Linked DNA regions of Diceros bicornis minor. The protein of the gene in region 1 interacts with the protein of each later gene in a pairwise test. Links are inferred from orthologs where the notes say so. Each region holds a gene or a part of one and is shown on either strand. Other genes may lie near its edges.

The links.
Region 2: the proteins of CTNNAL1 (region 1) and RNF135 interact in binary tests that used the Homo sapiens proteins (3 or more experiments, as listed by UniProt). The two-hybrid records come from large-scale screens. The link is inferred for Diceros bicornis minor from reciprocal best matches to the Homo sapiens genes CTNNAL1 and RNF135.

What each region holds. Positions count from the first base shown.
Region 1 is NC_080767.1:17,968,445-17,977,645, forward strand, and holds the start of CTNNAL1 (alpha-catulin), read right to left. Parts: upstream 4,028-9,201; 5' UTR 3,996-4,027; coding exon 3,855-3,995; intron 1-3,854. UniProt on the Homo sapiens protein: May modulate the Rho pathway signaling by providing a scaffold for the Lbc Rho guanine nucleotide exchange factor (ARHGEF1).
Region 2 is NC_080757.1:21,201,953-21,210,967, reverse strand, and holds the start of RNF135 (E3 ubiquitin-protein ligase RNF135), read right to left. Parts: upstream 3,397-9,015; 5' UTR 3,383-3,396; coding exon 3,014-3,382; intron 1-3,013.

The DNA.
Region 1 (9,201 bases):
TTCATATTGATGTCCTTAATCCATCTGGAACAATTTTTGTATATGATGTGTGACAGGGATCCAATTTCATGTGTTTCTATTTAGATAACAATGGTCCTAGCCCCATTTTTAAAAATGTTCTTCCTCTCCTGAACACTGACCGCAATGCCAATTCTGTGATTTATCAAGTTTCCATATATGCGTGGATCTGTTTCTAGGTTCTCTATTCTGTTTCACTGGTCTATTTGTCCATCTCTGTTCTTATATCCACACTTTATTATTATAGCTTTATAATAAGTCTTGAAATCTAGTAAAGCAAGTCCACCCACCTTGTTTCTCTCCTGGCTATTCTTGACTCTTTGCTCTTTCATATAAATTTTAGAATTACTTTTATCAATTCTACTCAAAAAACTCCTGTTGAAATGTTTATTGGAATTGCACTAAACTTATAGATCAATAGGGAAAATTGATACATCTACAATATCAAATCAATCTAGTCATGAACATGGTACTTCCCTCCCATTTATGTAGATCTACTTTGGCTTTCAATAAAATTTTAAAATTTTCTCCATGAAGTTTGGCATCTCTTTTGCTATACATATATTCCTAGGAACTTCATTTTATTCTAACTAGCATTTTTTTTTTTAGAATTACTTCTGTTTGTCATTCAGGTAGAAAAATGCAGTTGACTTTAGTATCCTACAGTCAGTGAACTTACTAAACCTCCCAATTTTTATAATTTATTTAAAGACTCTTTGAGTTTTTCTCTGTAGATAATTATATCATAATGAAGTTTTGATTTTTCCTTTCCTATCTTTACACTTTCACTTCTCCTTGTCCTGTTGCACTGGTTAGGATTTCCAGTACAGTGCTGAATAGAAACTGTGATAGCATCGCTCCTCTTGTTTCTGGTTTTAAAGGAAACGTTTGTTATGAATTTGACTTGTTGCTATGATGTTGACTGTAGGTTTTCTGTAGATACTCTTTATCAGGTTAAGGAAGGTGTTTCTATTACTAGTTTGCTAAGTGCTTTTTATCATGATTAGAAGCTGAATTTAAATGAATGCTTTTTCTGCATCTTTTGATAAGAACAGATAGCTTTTCTAATACATGAATGCAGAAAATTGTGTACATTGTCTAACATTGACTCAATCTTGCATTCCTAGAATAAGCCTAGTAACCCAGAACTTTTTACTTGAAGTCAGAAGAGCTTAGATGCTATCAAAGGAGAAACTATTTAAAACTCACTAAACTGTACAACGCTTGTCCTACTTGTTCACCTCCAGACCCTGTCTCCTCTATGGCATCATTCCTGACTCATCCGTGCCTTCTCCGAGCTCTTAAAGCATTTACCATTGATGATGTTCATTTGACACTTGGCATGTGCTATTTTGTACATGTCCTGTCTGCCAACTAGAATACAAGGTCCTCGAAGAGCAACAACTAGTAAGCATACAACAAACGCTTGCCTAAAATGCTTAAAATATTTTTGTGGATAAGATGGCGAAACATGCGTTGGATAATAATGCAGCATCCTTAGAAAATGACGCTCCTGGACATGAGTTTTCTAGAGCTGCAGTTTTAAAGCCACGAACACTCAATGAAACTTGAAAATCATTCTAAAGTGAACTCCACACTTTCCCGCTTTGTCAGTATTATGGCCATGCTTTATACATTTCTTGATCTTAAGCACAATTTAACTTTTTCTTGTTGAGTACAGTCAATCATTAGGAATATCAGTTATGGTATTGTGCTAAAGATATAACTGTGCATACATAACGTGTGGGATGCAGAATCTCAGCTATGGCCCTCAATGAGTCTTGAACAAAAAAGAAGAAAAAAAAAAAAAACTGGCATTTTCCCCCTTTGGCATTGACCTCTAGTTAACTCAGCAGCTATTTACACATTTCCTCCTCCACTTTCCTACTCTCTCCACCCTCTTCTACCCCAGAATTACACAATGGAGAGCTGTAGCACTGATACATTTTTAGTAGTGATACTATGAAAAATTACCATTTCTCCAGATTACAACAACCTTCCAGCTTGTTTTCCCATTGTGGACTCTTCTCTGTACCTACTATTAGCTGTCCTTATCACTGCTTCTACTCTCTAGAGAGAACACAGCATATGGTGTAGGTAAGAGCGTCAACTCTGGAGCCAGGCTGCCTGGATTCAAATCCCAGCTTGACATTTACAGTTGGAAGTCCCATGACAAGTTACTTAATCTCACTATTCCTATTTCCTCATCCACATAATGAGAATAAACATATGTCTACCTCACAGGACTGTCATGAGAATTAAATGAGTTAATACTTATAAAGTGCTTAGAACATGGCCTAGTGTATAGTAAGCATGATATACGTATGTTAAATAAATGGATAAAATACTGTCAACTTGAACTCCACCATCCTCTTACAACTACTCCAGTATTTCTCATTTTTGGTTGTGGTTGTATTGGTGGCAGTGGTGGTATTCTTTTGGGGGAGAGGGGCAGTGCAGACATTACTAACGGATCAGAGCACTGCTTCTCACTGGTCAGTGCCTCTATCAGACATGGAAGGGGGGGGGTGTAGGTGTATTCATTCCCTGTTGTGTTAGCCAGGCTAAAATGAGCACAGGTGAAGAAGATGGAGCTGTTTATTTAATCAGCGTTAACAGGAATCTACAGACATGTGTGACTGCTGTTTTCAAATATTTGCGGGGCTGGCACGGAGAAGAGACAGCATTAAAAATTCTATACAACAGCTACAGGCTCCCCATCACTGAACATGTTTAAACAGGGGGCTGGTGACCAGGTGTCAAGGGTGCTGTAAGAAAGAATTTTTTAATTTAGAGTCAGATAACCTTTAAGATTCCTTCTACCTCTAAAATCTTGGCAGCACTAGCGTGAATCATCAAGACTTTACAATCCAGTTGTGAGTCACACATCGCCAGCGCGCTCCTGAAGGCACAGAATTCTTCACTCCCCACAGTGTTTGGCACATTACACAGGTCTAGGTGAGGAATTCTAGCCCTCAGGCTGCGTATAACTCGGCTCACCGTAACAAAAACTTCTCTAAAGCTAAGCGCGTCAATTAGCTGATTCTAGACTTCTGTTATGACCAACAAATACAATAAAGCATACATCCCAAATGGGATTTGGCAAAAGATGGGTATCCGGATTAACTATCAGGCTGTCCTTCACTTCGCTCTTCCGAGGCCGGACAAGAGCCAACTGCAGTGAGCAGGCAGGTTAAGGGGAAGGGGCAGGGTGGCCCGGGAGAAATGCGAGGCGGGCGAGCCGACACACACGCAGGGCAGAGGGACAAAGGCCCCGGGAGAGCACGCTGGACTTGGAGGCTGGGAATGCCCCAGCTGGAGTGCCCAAAGGTCCGGGTTTGGACCGGGGTTGCGAACGTGTGCCGGCAGCGGGTTAAAGAGCAGCACCGGGGGGGGCCCCTAAGAGCCAGCGGAGCTCCCGCCGTGGTCCTCTCTGCCTCCCGGGAGCTGGGCTCGCCGCCCACCCGCGGAGGCGGGCTCGCTGGGCCGGGGGCCACCGCAGCCGCAGCCGCGAGGCGGGTCCTGGGGGGCAGGCCGGGCGCGCACCTGCCGGCCGGGCTCTCGAGTCCGCACCGGGCCCCCCGCCCCGCAGCCTCTCCTGCCGCTCAGCCAACTCGGCCTCGCCGCCGGATTTCGAACGGTCCAGACTCAGCCACCTCAGCCGAGGCCCGTCCTCAAGCCCCAGACCGGCTGTCCGACACCGACGCCGCAGTCCGGGTGCAGGATGCGGGGCAGCGGCTGCCTCCCGCCCGGCCCGACCCGGCTGTGCGAGCGGCCGCCGCCATCGCGGGCCGCGGCCGGAGGGAGACGAGGGGCCGCACCGGGCGCCACTTTACCTGAGAAACCAGCGGGAGCAGCGTCTGCTCCACCGAGCGAGTTTTGATCTCGAGTCCCGAGTCGAAGGCGAGGCCCGACGGGCCGGAGCCGTGCATTGCTCCGGCGCCCCCAACGCCGGCCGGGCCCGGAGAGGCAGCCATGGCCCTCCGCTCGTCGCGCAGCCGGAACGCCGCGCCACTGAGGGCCCGTCGCCCGCCGCCCGCCAGCCAGCCCGCGCGCGGCGGCGGCAGCAAAGCACCCGCGCCGCCCGGGGCCCCGCCCCTGGCACGGCCCCGCCCCCGGCCTGCTGGGCCGCCGCCGGGCCCCGCCCGCGACAGGCCCCCGCCCACTCCCCGCCCCCAGCCGGGCCCCGTCTCCAGCCTGCTGGGGTGCCGCAGAGCCCCGCCCCTGACAGGCCCCGCCCCCGACAGGCCCCGCCCACTCCCGCCTCTGTCCCGCTCCCTCCATCCCCATTCCCCGCCTTGCCTCTCTCTCTCTCCAGACCACTCTTCGGTGGGTTCCATGCACGTCCCACGCGCGCTAAACAGAGAAACTAATATACCTGAGGCTTCCCACGGCCACGTGGCCTCTTACCAGGACAAAGGACACCGTCCCCAGCAAAGCTTCCCATCCTCTGTCCTCTCGATAGGTAACTCGTCCTAACTACGAATTCCCGCGGCGATTTCTGGAAGCTGCACTGAGGTTGAAACTAACTGGTAGAGCAGGACCCGAGTCATGTCTGTAGGGGGCTGCTGTTTACCCTGAGACAGGAATTCTACAGGCAATATAGTCTTTCTGGAGCTTCTCCGGAAGGCCCCATTTCCCCCTCCACCCTGCTCCTTTTCTGACTGTATCTTTCTCACAATTGAGCTGGACTGAAGATGAAACACTTGATAATGCAGTTATTTAAGGAGTGTCTGGGTACTCGGCAAGAAGAGAGTGACTTGGGTATCTTTCAGGCTACTGCTCAGAAATACTCTTCTAAATAGACCATATGGAAAAGCACCTACTGTTCAACACTTTTTTTCAATTACTGTTCAATTACTTTTTAAAACTACTTTTCAAAATTATTTTCCCCTAGTGCCTAGCACAGAGCAGTTTCTTAACAGCTGTTCACAGACTGAAAAGATCATTAGTATATATTTCTAACTAAACTAAGGGTAAGGCTAAAATCAGGGAGCCCCTGCGGGATTGAGATGGGAGGGAGAGCTGAACACCCCTTACCCTAAGGGTTCCAGGAGCAAAGCCAAAAAGAGGTTGTCAGAAACACACCCTGTGAAAGGGTCCTAGGCTTAAGCAACAGCCTGAGAAACATGAAGAAATATTTTTTGAACTAGCATATCTGCCAATAAGAAACTATCAGAATAGAAAAGAATCTGAGGTTGGCTAGTCCACTGTTACACCTTTGCCAGGACCATTTCTCCATCCATAATGTCAGATTGATGAGCTGAACACCACCAATTGGAGGTGTCAGCAAGTTCTTTCCCAAGCACTGTTGAAATGTGCTTTACAGTACTTCCACACCTGGGTTTGGCTACGTCACCCAGTGCTGCACTGATATCTTTGCTATTGAAGATAGCCATAACTTAGGATTGTTTTCTTCATTCAAAATCTGCAGTTCTTTGATCCAAAAAAAATTTTTTTTTTGCGAGGAAGATCAGCCCTGAGCGTTATAACATCCATGCTAATCCTGCTCCTTTTTACCGAGGAAGACCGGCTCTGAGCTAACATCTATTGCCAATCCTCCTCCTTTTTTTTTTTTCCCCAAAGCCCCAGTAGATAGTTGTATGTCATAGTTGCACATCCTTCTAGTTGCTGTATGTGGGACCCGGCCTCAGCATGGCTGGAGAAGCAGTGCGTTGGTGGGCGCCCAGGATCTGAACCCTGGCCGCCAGTAGCGGAGCGCGCGCACTTAACCGCTAAGCCACAGGGCGGGCCCTCGATCCAAATTTCTTTTCCTCTGATTCTTACTCCCCAGCCATGCACATCACCACTTCCTCATCTACCTCAAGGCCACCTTCCCTTGTGTACTGAGGGCTCCAGCCTCAGCCTTGGACCTTTTCACCTCTTGAAGGTGCCCAGCATCCACTCCCCAGACACTTATTCCCTTATGTAAGTTGCCCATATTTCATAAAAATTCAGTGTAGGTATTGGTGCTAAAGGAAAAGGCAAGAGATAAAGCCTAAGAGACAGATAAGGTGGACTTGTAAAAGTGTGACTTCACTAAAGATCAAATTTCTCAACAGAAATGAGACTAAGTTTACCACCTGATTTTTTCAACACTAGCAATTTTACTTCAAAATATAAATATTTTACATTTACAAAGAAGTTACATCAGTAGGTTGTCAAAGCAAGTTAAAGCTAAGAAACAGCATTTGTGTGAGAATAAAGAATATGTATTGTTGTATTTGAATAATCCTTTTTTTCAAACCATCTCTACTTTGCCTGAGAATGCAGAGATGATACACTTTCCAAAAGTTACATAAGCAAGTTATAAACTATTATGACCTCAATAAAAAAAACCTATAAAAAAAAAGTTACATAAGCAATTACAACTATATATCCAATCTTGGTTTCAAAATCAAATAATATTTGAAATACACTCCGGTTACCTAAACGAGTGGCACAGCAAAGGACAAAAGAGGGTTTTCTTTGGGATAGCTATAACAGGAGTTACATTTTCTGGGTCACTGCAATAAAAAAAATATATAGTATTTGATAATAAGCCAAATGATGTTACTTTAAGATTTGCTTCCACACCTTTCACTGTAAAATATAAAGCTAGAAGAAAAATACGAAACCAGGTGTGGAGTCAAGAACTCTGGACTTGGAGTCAGAAGTTCTGCAACTGAATTCTGGCTCCATCACTTTGTGGTATAAACTTAAGGGAAAATCACAAAAAAAACCTTTCTGAGCCCCCAGTCAGTGCCTCATTTGATAATACTTAACACCTGCCTATCTCACAGGGTTGTTAAGAAAGCAGCCTAAAAACTATGAAGTGCCATACAACAGCATTATTAAAATGTAGTATCAATATATCACCACTGTATTCGCACATTAATTGATCCTTGAAAAACTTGCAAAACTGAACACAAACACTGATTTTACACACCATAGGTGGAAAAGAATCTCTATACTTTATGTATAGCTCTGAACGGCAAATGTGTTTTCTTTCTAGTATCTCTCTAAACTTGGAGATTTACTACAGTTTACATGGTACCATGGTAGTAGACTTACCATTCAGAAATTTCCATTAGGGATATCATCTAAAAGACCTGTACACTTACTCGAGAGCCATGTTTCCCAGAGGATCAGCAGTCCTTTGAGTAAGAAAAGGAGGATGGGGGCATGGTTTAAAGTCAAATAAGTCTAGTAAACATAGTCTTTGTCCCCTCTTATAAGTTCACAATATATAATAGCACATTAAAAACTCTTCGAAATCCTACAGAAAGGATATAAACTCAGCATTCTGCAATTTGAATTGAACATGGAGTCTTCTCCCACCACACACACTTTTCTTCTCTTATAACGTCCCATGGAACTACTGCTATAAGGAACACATTTTTCCAAAAGCTACTCAACTACAAGGGAAAGGGCAGAGAAGCAGAACAAAGGACCGAGGGGAAAAAAAGAACTATCTTCTACTCTGAATTCTGTTACTAACGGGCTCTGCGTGTGTCAGAAAAACCACTTTAACCTCTGGATTTGTTTCCTGCTCTAAAAAAAGCCAGGATCACCTAATTAAATAAGGCCCATTCTACCACAGAAATTCTATGACTGTAGTAGACAGAACATCTTGATTTATAACTCTCTTGATTATTTTTAAACTATGAAAAAATAACTGCTCAGAGGTTTCAGATACCATGTGTATTTTTTGCAGGTCCTCAATAAGTTAATGAAATGGATATATTTTGATGGCAAAAAGTGTAAAGACAAAAAATTAATAAAAACAAAAAGTATTTGTTCTTAGCTGGAAGTAGCATTTGGAAAAATGTTCCCAGAGGCTATTTCCACTGTGAAATACCTACCGACATACTCTTGGAAGGGTTTTGGAAGACCCTTAGAGGAGACTGCCGGTCGGGACCAGAGTATGGGAAGTTGTGAAGGGGTCTTTCCTATAAACCTTGAGGCTGAAAGCTCTGGATAGCTCACCTAAAATTACTTTGCTCTAATCTAACCCCGCATGGCCTAAATTTCTGAGTATTTCTTGTCCAGAAGTGACACATCCTGAAGTGCTAATTACAACCAAAGTGGGAACTGGCGGTACTGGGAAGTCCTGATGGCTCACAATGGGTTCATGTGAAGACTAAGGTTAGCCAGAGGACTTCATCTGCAAGCCCTTTAGCAGCTGTATATTCCAGTTGAAGGGCAGCTATTTCCCAAGTTACTGAGTTTGTTTAAATAGAGTGTCTCCATAACACTTCTTGGGTATCCTCCCACTGTCAAGAGTCAATCTACACCAGTCTCAGAAGTCAAGGGAAAACTCTGCCGGCCAACTACCTCTAATGGAAGAGGGTTTTAGAATCCTTGCAAATTTAAAAATAAACAAAACTTGTATCTAAGGCCGTCTGACAGAGATCACTTCCAGGAACAGACAATGTGACAGGAATTTTGGAACTGAAGGAGGACTTGGACGACATGGAGTTTATGCTGAAAATCCCATGCCTTGTTTTCTCTCAGAAAAGAGAGGAGCACACTGTGGGAAGAGCTTGTATCTCCTCCTTCCATTCCCCCATTCGGTTTACAACTGAATAGTGAATGTGAACTTCAAACTAATCTTTAATAAAGCTATAAAACAGCAGACATTGTGACAGGATTCTGCATTTGGTTTTTACCGAAGCTACTTCTACTTCACCAATGCATTATCTGTTCCTAGAGAAACTTCTGGGTCAAATCCTGAGAATCTGAGGGTAGGTCATCTTTGAGACTTGAGCTTGACACTCCTACCTTTTCATACCATTATGATCTCTATGCCCTGTGAAAATTCTGTAAAACCTCCTCACTATATCTGAGGGGCATGTTTCTCTCTGTCTTTGAAGGTTCCAGGAAGACCACCCCCAGCTGGTCGACCTGCGAGTCCTTATGCTGTTGCTGAAGGACTGGGGCAGTTCAAGTGTCCTGATCAGGACTGTCTAGCACTCTGGGGCACGTCTCCTCCTGTGATATTGCATCATTGCTAATTTTGGTAGCTATAAACCATTCTCTTAGGGCTCAGAGTTCCCCTCTAAGAACTTGGTATTCATACTGATAATTATGACCAGCAACAGCCATACATTAGCTCAAGTTTAGTGTTTTGCAACATCACTTTATACAGCTAAAAGCACTTTGGAGGAACATAATTTGTATATGCACACTAACTCATTGTGT
Region 2 (9,015 bases), on another chromosome or scaffold:
TTCCAGGCTCCACTTCCAAATATACAGCCAGCTGGAACTCTGGAGTCCTTACCCAAGCACCTGAGCAAATCAAAAACTTTTCTACCGATAAAAAAAATACATACTTATTGTGGTTAGTTTAGAAAATGCAGAGAACAAGAAAGAAGAAATGTTTTAAATCATCCAATATCCTACTATCCAAATGTTACCCTGGCCCCTGGCCCCATAAGACATTAACCACAACCCTGCTCAGAACAAGCCTAACACATTCTCTTTAGGTTACAGGAAACCACGAAGAGAGGAATAAGGAGATGGCTGACATATTGTCAAAACCAGTTAAAACCAGGTGAAGGCAACATGGTAGCCTGACTTGACCTGACATAGACCCCACAGCTCATTACAGGCTCATTGTAATACATTACCGTGCTACATAACACCCCCCCCAGCGCCATGACAGTCCACAATTGCCACAGCAACCGCAGCATATGACTAAATAAGGAAAGAAAAGAGGTGGCACCCTTGTTCCCCCGAAAAGCCTGCCCTGTTCCCTGAATATGATGAATACTCCCCCCCTTCATTATCTCGACCCCTTATAACCGCTGCTGCTTACTCGCCCCAAGAGCTGAGAAGTTGAGTTGTGAACTTAGTTCCCACTTCTCTATTCTTTGGCCATCAAATAAAAGCTTGTGCCGTTGACTGTTCAGCTTTGGTTTTGTTTCAAATCTGCGACCCTGAACAGAAAAGAACCCTCCAAGGAGGGGACGGATTGTGGGTACGAGGCCCACACCTGTGGGTCCCTCCGCGGAGCTCCTCTGAAGTGGGTTGGAGTCCCACCAGAGTGAGGTCAATTTGGTAACACAAAGACAATCATTTTAATTTAAAAGGCTTTGGAAAGTATATTCAGTCACTACAGTATAATCTATATTAACAAAACATTTTAAGGACCTGAGCGATAATGCTGTATTTATAATCAAAAAGAAGAGAACATGCTTTATTCATAACGGCAAAAAAATGGAAGCAATCAATATGTCCATCACCAGGTGAATGGATAAACTGTGGTATAACTATGCAATGGAATATTATTCAGCAATAAAAAAAGAAATGAGCTATCAAGTCACAAACCCTAATTTTGCTTACTGAAAGGAGCCAGTCTGGAAAGGCTAGATATTGTATGATTCCAACTATATGACATTCCGGAAAAGGCAAAACTATAGAGATAGTATAAAGATGAGTGGTTGCCAGGGGTTGGGATGGGGTACAAACAGGTGGAGAACAGGGGATTTTCAGGACAGTATAACTGAATGACACTGTAATTGTAGACACATGACCTCATGCATTCGTCAAAACCCACAGAACTGTACAACACAAAGAGTGAACCCTAATGTAAACTATGGATTTTAGTTAATAATAATGTATAAATATTGGTTTATCAATTGTAACAAATGTACCACACTAATGCAAAATGTTAATAATAGGGGAAACTGTGAGGGATATATGGGGACTTTCTGTCCTATCTGCTCAGCATTCTGTAAACTTACAACTGCTCTAAAAAATAAAGTCTATTAACTAATTAAAAAAAAAAACACGACATAAACTACCTACACAAGGTGACCTCAACTCTTCAAAAAGACCGCAGAGAACAGCAAAAGGGTAGAGCGGGAAGCTCCCCTACCCTACCCCTAGCCCCCCATAATAAAACATCGCAAAACAAGCAGAAACTGACAGAACAAACTTTGTCAGGACTCTGGAAAACACCAAATCAAAAAAGAGCAACCTGGCAGTAGGAAAGCTTTGTGGTGTTTTTACCTGCCCCCGCCCCACTCCCTCCCTGGCTAAGTAACAGTCTTGAAGATTCCCAGCGTGGAACCCTGGTCCTGGTTGCAGAAGGAGCAGAGCCCCACATTCACAAATTGTTGTGTATGTCTGTTCTAACCTGGCTGGGGCTGCCTGAAGGAATGACACAGGGTGCTCATCTTTTTCTACCTAACTCAGAGCTCGGGCCAGAAAGGTGGTGGGCATTGCTCGGAACGCTGCAACTGAATTAAACTTGCCTATGTCTAGAGCTAAAGATTATGGTGGAAATGTACGATAGGGCACGTAGGTTCCAGGAGCAAAAGCTGGGGAAAATTGAAACCCTCCTACTTTGTTGATGGGAATGTAAAATGGTGTAGCTGCTGTGGAATACAGTTTGGCTGTTCCTCAATAAGTTAAATAGAGAATTACCTTAGGACCCAGCAATTCCACTCTTAGGTATTGTCAAAATAATTGAAAATAGGGACTCAGATACTTGTAACCAATGTTCACTGCAACATTACTCACAATAACCAAAAGGTGGAAACAATTAAAATATCCACCAAGGTATGAATTTTTAAAAAAAGTGGTATATACATACAAGGGAATATTATTCAGCCGCAAAAAGGAATGAAGTTCGGATACATGCTACAACACAAATGAACCTTGTAAACATCATGGCAAGTGAAAGAAGCCAGACCCAAAGGGATAAATATTGCATGATTCCACTTATATGAAATATCTAGGCAAATTCATAGAGACAGAAACTCAATTAGAGGGACTGGAGGGAGGAGGAATGAGAAGTTATTGCTTAATGGGTACAGAGTTTCTGTTTGTAGTGATGAAAAAGTTTTGGAAATAGATAGTGGTGATGGGTGCACAACACTGTGAATACAACTAACGCTACTGAATTGCACACTTAAAAATCGTTAGAATAGCAAATTGCACCACAATAAAAAAATTTTCATAGAGACAGACTTCGTAAAGACTGGAAAGAAATGGAAATACGCCAAGGTGTACAGCGGCTAGGTTGATAGGATTTTAGGAGATTTGGATTTTTTTTTTTCCTGCTGCTTCATACTTTTCTGAACTTTCCAAAGAGCGCGTTCTACTTTTAGACGGGGAAAAAGTAACGTAAGAGTAGAAAAGGAAAGGGAAAGGAGGAAGAGCGATGGGGCAACAGGGTGCAGGCGGCGCGGGCAGCTTGGAGGAGAGAGGGGAGCTGCGGGTCCCGCCTCCCTACCGGCAGCGGCGCGGCGGGGCGCGGGGGCCCCGGCGCTGGGCCGGGGGCCGGGGCGGGAGCTGGGCCGGGGGCCGGGCCGGGGCCGGCCTCCAGCTCGCGCGCGGCCTGGCTGTACTTGTCGGCCAGGTCCTGCAGCAGCGTGTTCTTCCGCAGCTGCAGCTGCTGCGCGCCGCCCTCGCGGCAGGTGGGGCAGGACCAGCGGCGCCCCGCGGCCCCTGCGCCCCACAGGTCCTTCAGGCAGCTGCGGCAGAAGGTGTGGCCGCAGGGCAGCGTGACGGGCCAAGCGAGCAGCCCATGACAGATGATGCAGCCCAGGTCGTCCTCGGCTAGCCACACGGGGATGGCCCGGCCGGTGTCCAGGCCCGCCATGGTGACCAGTCCGCCGCCGGGGCGCGGAAGTCGCGGCCACGCCAGGCACCGCCCGTCCGCCCGCCCGCTGCTACGTCTCCTCTGGCTCCTCCCTCGCTCTTCCTCTCCGCCCGCTCCTTCGCTGTCTCCTCCCCTCTTCACTTCGGTCCGCCGTTGTTCCGTTTCTGCAGTCTTGCTGAAAGCTGACTTAGAGCCTCCACCGCCCAGCCCGCGGCGCCCTGGGGGCAGAGCTGGCTGCTAGTCACAGCCTCCTCTGCTGGGAAATCAGCTCGCCCCAAGCGCTAGGAACCTGATGATGTCCCAAAGATCCCTTGGTTTAACGCCCCCCGCCCCATTAAAATACAACCCCGACAACTCTTGGAAGAAGAAAAAAGAGGATTCAAGAACTCTTTTATGAGAATGCGTCCACTAGGTGTCATCCAGCCCCTCCAACTAGCAAGGGATTAAAGAATTTCGAGGGCCGGCCCCGTGGCTTAGCGGTTAAGCGCGCGTGCTCCGCTACTAGCGGCCCGGGTTCGGATCCCGATCCTGGGCGCCCACGGACGCAACGCTTCTCCGGCCATGCTGAGGCCGCGTCCCACATACAGCAACTAGAAGGATGTGCAACTATGACATGCAACTATCTGCTGGGGCTTTGGGGGATAAAAGGAGGAGGATTGGCAATAGATGTTAGCTCAGACCGCGTCTTCCTCAGCAAAAAAAAAAAAAGAGAGAGAGGAGGATTAGCATGGATGTTAGCTCAGGGCTGATCTTCCTCACACACACAAAAAAAGAATTTGGAGCGCACATAACTGGAAGCTGGTTAAAAACACCGATGTTGGGGCTCCACTCCTGGAGAGTCTGATTTTCTGGGGTAGAGCACGGCACAGGTATTTTAAAAAATCTCCCCCGGATGATTCTAACCCGCAGCCAAAGTTGAGTGACCCCTAGACTTTTACAATCCGTGTTACAGTGCAGAATTGTGCCTCTGTCTCCTTACTGCTCCCTGCTGACTGAAAGCACATTACCCAACAAGCATCGGAACAAAAATGCTAGAAAGTCTGTTTTCTTGAGGTAGCACTCCTGGCCCTGGTTGGACTTGTTCTCTTCCTCCTCTCCTCTTATTCCAGTCCTAAGCGTATTACAACCAGAAAACATATGAACTAGAACAGCATCAAATCCTCCCCAAAGACCCAAAGAGACAAACTTCCAGGCTTACATAGCAATAACTGAGTGGCAGAGACCAGAACCTGTCTCTCTCTGGTCTGTTGAATTGAACTAACAATGTCTTATATTTTATTTTACTCCATCTTGCCTGGGCTCAAAGTAGGTACCAGATAATACAAATTTGTGGCTATTTCCACTACTGGAAATGACAGGTAGTAGTCATTAGTGCTGCTCATCCAAGTTTCCAGCTCTTTTCCTTTCTAGGCACCTGGTAGGACTGGCACTTCTCTGACCAACTTGAAACACACAGAAGTAATAGTTGTTAACTTCCCACCAGCTTAAAAAGCTGGTAAGTCATTGTACCCCTTTCTGCTAGCTGCCGTGACTATAGAGATGAAGCCATCAACTGGTGGCCTGGGTCTCTGTGTCGCTAAGATGAGCAGACCTCCTGCCGACCCATACTAGGACATGTAGCAAAGGAGAAAAATAAACTTGAGATATGTTAAGTTTACTGAGACTTAGTGGGTGCTTGTAGCTACAGCATAACCCAGCATATTCTTTTTTTTTTTTGTGAGGAAGATCAGCCCTGAGCTAACATCCATGCTAATCCTCCTCTTTTTTTGCTGAGGAAGACGGGCTCTGAGCTAACATCTATTGCCAATCCTCCTCCTCTTTTTCCCCAAGGCCCCAGTAGACAGTTGTATGTCACAGTTGCACATCCTTCTAGTTGCTGTATGTGGGACGCGGCCTCAGCATGGCGGGAGAAGCGGTGCGTGGGTGCGCGCCCGGGACCGAACCTGGCTGCCAGCAGCGGAGAGCGCGCACTTAACCGCTACGCCACGGGCCAGCCCCCTAGCGTATTCTGACTGATATCTTACCTGGATTTTGTTCCAGAGTCTCCTCATTTGGAGTAAACTCATAGCTTCTCTGGACCTCTCTTCTGAAAAATAGGCATGATATCAAATGCACATGCTCAAATCTTCCATCTTAAAAAATAAAGTCTCCTTTGATATAGGCCTCCCTCTAGCTATCTCTCCTTCTGTCTTCCACTGCACACCCAAGTTTCTTGGAAGAGTAGATTAACCAGTGGTCTTCAAACTTTTTTTTCTTGGACAGCTCCTAAAAGTTTTATTCAAAAACATGCAGTGATTACAAGAAAGGGGGGAGGGATGGCAGTAGTCAGCCCTAGCTGTAAAAATTTGTGAACAAGTTCTTCATTTACATTGGAAATTTTATCATTCTTTCATCTTCTTAAACTTGTATTTCCATTCTACTTTCTCCACAAAACTATAATCTAAGATAATATATTTTATGCATGACAGTCTTTTATCACTTTGTAATCACCAGATTAAGATGTTAAGATACAGTGCTCTCACTGTGATGGCCTGGGTTCATTCGCCAGTCAGGGAACCAGGCCACCCATCTGTCAATTTTCATACTGTGGTGGCTGCATGTTGCTGTGATGCTGAAACCTATGCCACCAGTATTTCAAATACCAGCAGGGTCACCCATGGTGGACAGGTTTCAGCAGCTGAGACAGACTAGGAAGAAGGAATTGGCTACCCACTTCCAAAAAAATTGGCCATGAAAACCCTATAAATAGCAGCAGAACTTTGGCTGATAGAGTGCCGGAAGGTGAGAAAATGGCGGGCAGGAGAAAGTGAGAAAAAGACTGGACAGGGTTCCACTTTGCTGTACACAGGGTTGCTGGAGTTGAAATTGACTTGATGGCACTAACAACAACAAAATCACTTTTATCACTTTGTAATAATTTCCTGCAACAACAAAAAATATATATATATTGAATTTTTAAATCTTTTTTACTTCCTATGACAAAAAGGCTCTTGTTAATTTTTTTATTCTGTATTGAATTATCATTATAATTATTATTAGCAGTCGATAAAAACAAAAATATATTGTAAATTTATGTAAATAATTGTTAATCAAAAAGTAAAAATTTTATTAGAATTGCAGCTCTTAATGAGATGGATGGGCTGGGTTTTTTAAAAAATGAATTTATCTGTGGATGAACATTACTTTTTTGCTTTTTTTTTTTTTTTTTGGTGAGGAATATTAGCCCTGAGCTAACATCTGATGCCAATCCTCCTCTTTTTTTCACTGAGGAAGATTGTTCCTGTGCTAATGTCCGTGCCCATCTTCCTCTACTTTATATGGGACACCGCCACAGCATGGCTTGACAAGCAGTGCATCGGTGCGCATCTGGAATCTGAACTTGCGAACCCCAGGCTGCCTAAGCGGAACTTGTGCTCCTAACTGCTACGCCACCAGGCCAGCCCCTCTGCTGGCTTTATTTAGACATAATTGACGTAAAATATTGTGTATGTTTAAGGTGTACAACGTGATGATTTGACACACCCATATATTGCAAAAATGATTACCACAGTAAGGTTAGTTAACACTTCCATCACCTCACATAATTCCATTTGTGTGTGTGTGTGGTAAGAACTAAGATATACTAAGATATCCTCTCTTAGCAACTGTCAAGCATACAATAAAGTACTGTTAACTATAGTCACCATGTTGTACATTAGATCCCCAGAACTTATTCATCTTATAACTGTAAGTTTGTACCCTTCAACCGACATGTCCCCATTTCCCCCACCCGGCAGCCCCTGGCAACCACCTTTCTACTCTCTGTTTCTGAGTAGGCTTTTTTAGATTCCGCATGTAAATGAGATCAGACTCAAAAGTCTTTCTCTGTCTGACTTATTTCACTTAGCATAATGCCCTCAAGGTCCGTCCATGTTGTCACAAAAGGCAGGATTTCCTTCCTTTTTATGGCTAAATAATATTCCATTTTATATACACCACATTTTCTCTATCCATTCATCTGTGGGTGGACACTTAGGTTGTTTCCATGTCTTGCCTATTGGGAACAATGCTGCAGTGAACATGGAGTAGAGATATCTCTTTGAGATAGTGATTTCAGAAATATACCCAGAGTGGGATTGCTGGATCATATGGTAGTTCTATTTTGTGTGTGTGTGTGTGTGTATGTGTGTGTGTGTGTGTGTGAGGAAGATTAGCACTGAGCTAACATCTGTTGCCAATCCTCCTCTTGTTTTGCTGAGGAAAATTCTCCCTTTTTATATGTGGGACGCCCACACAGCATGGCTTGATAAGTGGTGAGTAGGTCTGTGCCCAGGATCCGAACCCGTGAGCCCCGGACTGCTGAAGTGGAGCACATGAACTTAACCACTATGCCACCGAGCTCGTCCCAGTAGTTCTATTTTTAATTTTTTGAGAAACCTCAATACTGCTTTCCATAGTGGATGTACTAATTTATATTACCACCAATGGTACACAAGGGTTCCCTTTTCTCTACTTCCTCACCAACACTTATCTCTTGTCTTTTTGATGACAGCCATTCTGACAGGTGTGAGGTGATACCTCATTGTAGTTTTGATATGAATTTACCCGATGACTAGTGATATTGAGCACCTTTTCATGTTGGTCATTTGTATTTCTTTGGAAAATGTCTATTCCCATCTTCTGCCCATTTTTAAATTGGATTATTTTGTTTTTTTGCTATTGCGTTGAGTGAGTGACGAACATTACTTAACACTAGAATTAAACAAGGTCCAGCAATAAATTCCATTCCTTTTTGTTTGTTTGTTTTTATAAATATTAGCACTGAGAAACCTTGTTTACATATATAAATAGATGACAACAATGTCACACATTTTGTTGAACACTTTCTGAGACATATGCAAAAAAATCACATCATCAGAAATTATTTTTAATAATCTCTCAGCTGACAACTTGATTAGATTTCCTTTTAATTTTTGCTGAAAGCAAAAAATTTGAAACTACTTGTGTTGCAAAAGTCGTTAGAAGTATTCACTTTCTCATTTTCTAGGAAGTATGCTAATAAAGAATTTACCAAGGTTTATCAAATTACTATCAATTATACCAGTTACTCTTTTAGAGGCACTTTGTTTAACCTGACATACTCAGAAAGGGCTAGGAATATTAGAATATTATTCGTTTCAATACACCCTTGTCAATCTATGTTTTTTTGGAGGATCACTTTTATATGTTTGAAATATATTTTCTTCAAAAGTTTGGAGCTGCAGATTTAGTTCTATTTATGCAATATATTTGCCACATAACCTAATTGGCAAAGCCAGTTCTCGTTGTCAAACCAGTCAGTCGAATCAGACTCATTTCCTGTCAGAGAGTCTGACGTCATTGTTAAATTCAAGTAAATGTATTCCTACTGTGACACCTGGTTCCGATGCTAAGTTAGATGAGAAAGGACGAGGTCCTTGAGTTTGTGGGCTGGATGAAATAAGGTACAACTGCCATTAACATGTTCTACCAGTGTTTACTTTGCTCTTACTGGATTCCTTCAAGGACAAAGCATGTTTTGTCAGGGGAAGGAAGAGGTCATTATATGTACATCATCCTTACTTCCACTCCACTCTGTAATATATGAATTCAAAACATCTAAACATAAGCCGAAA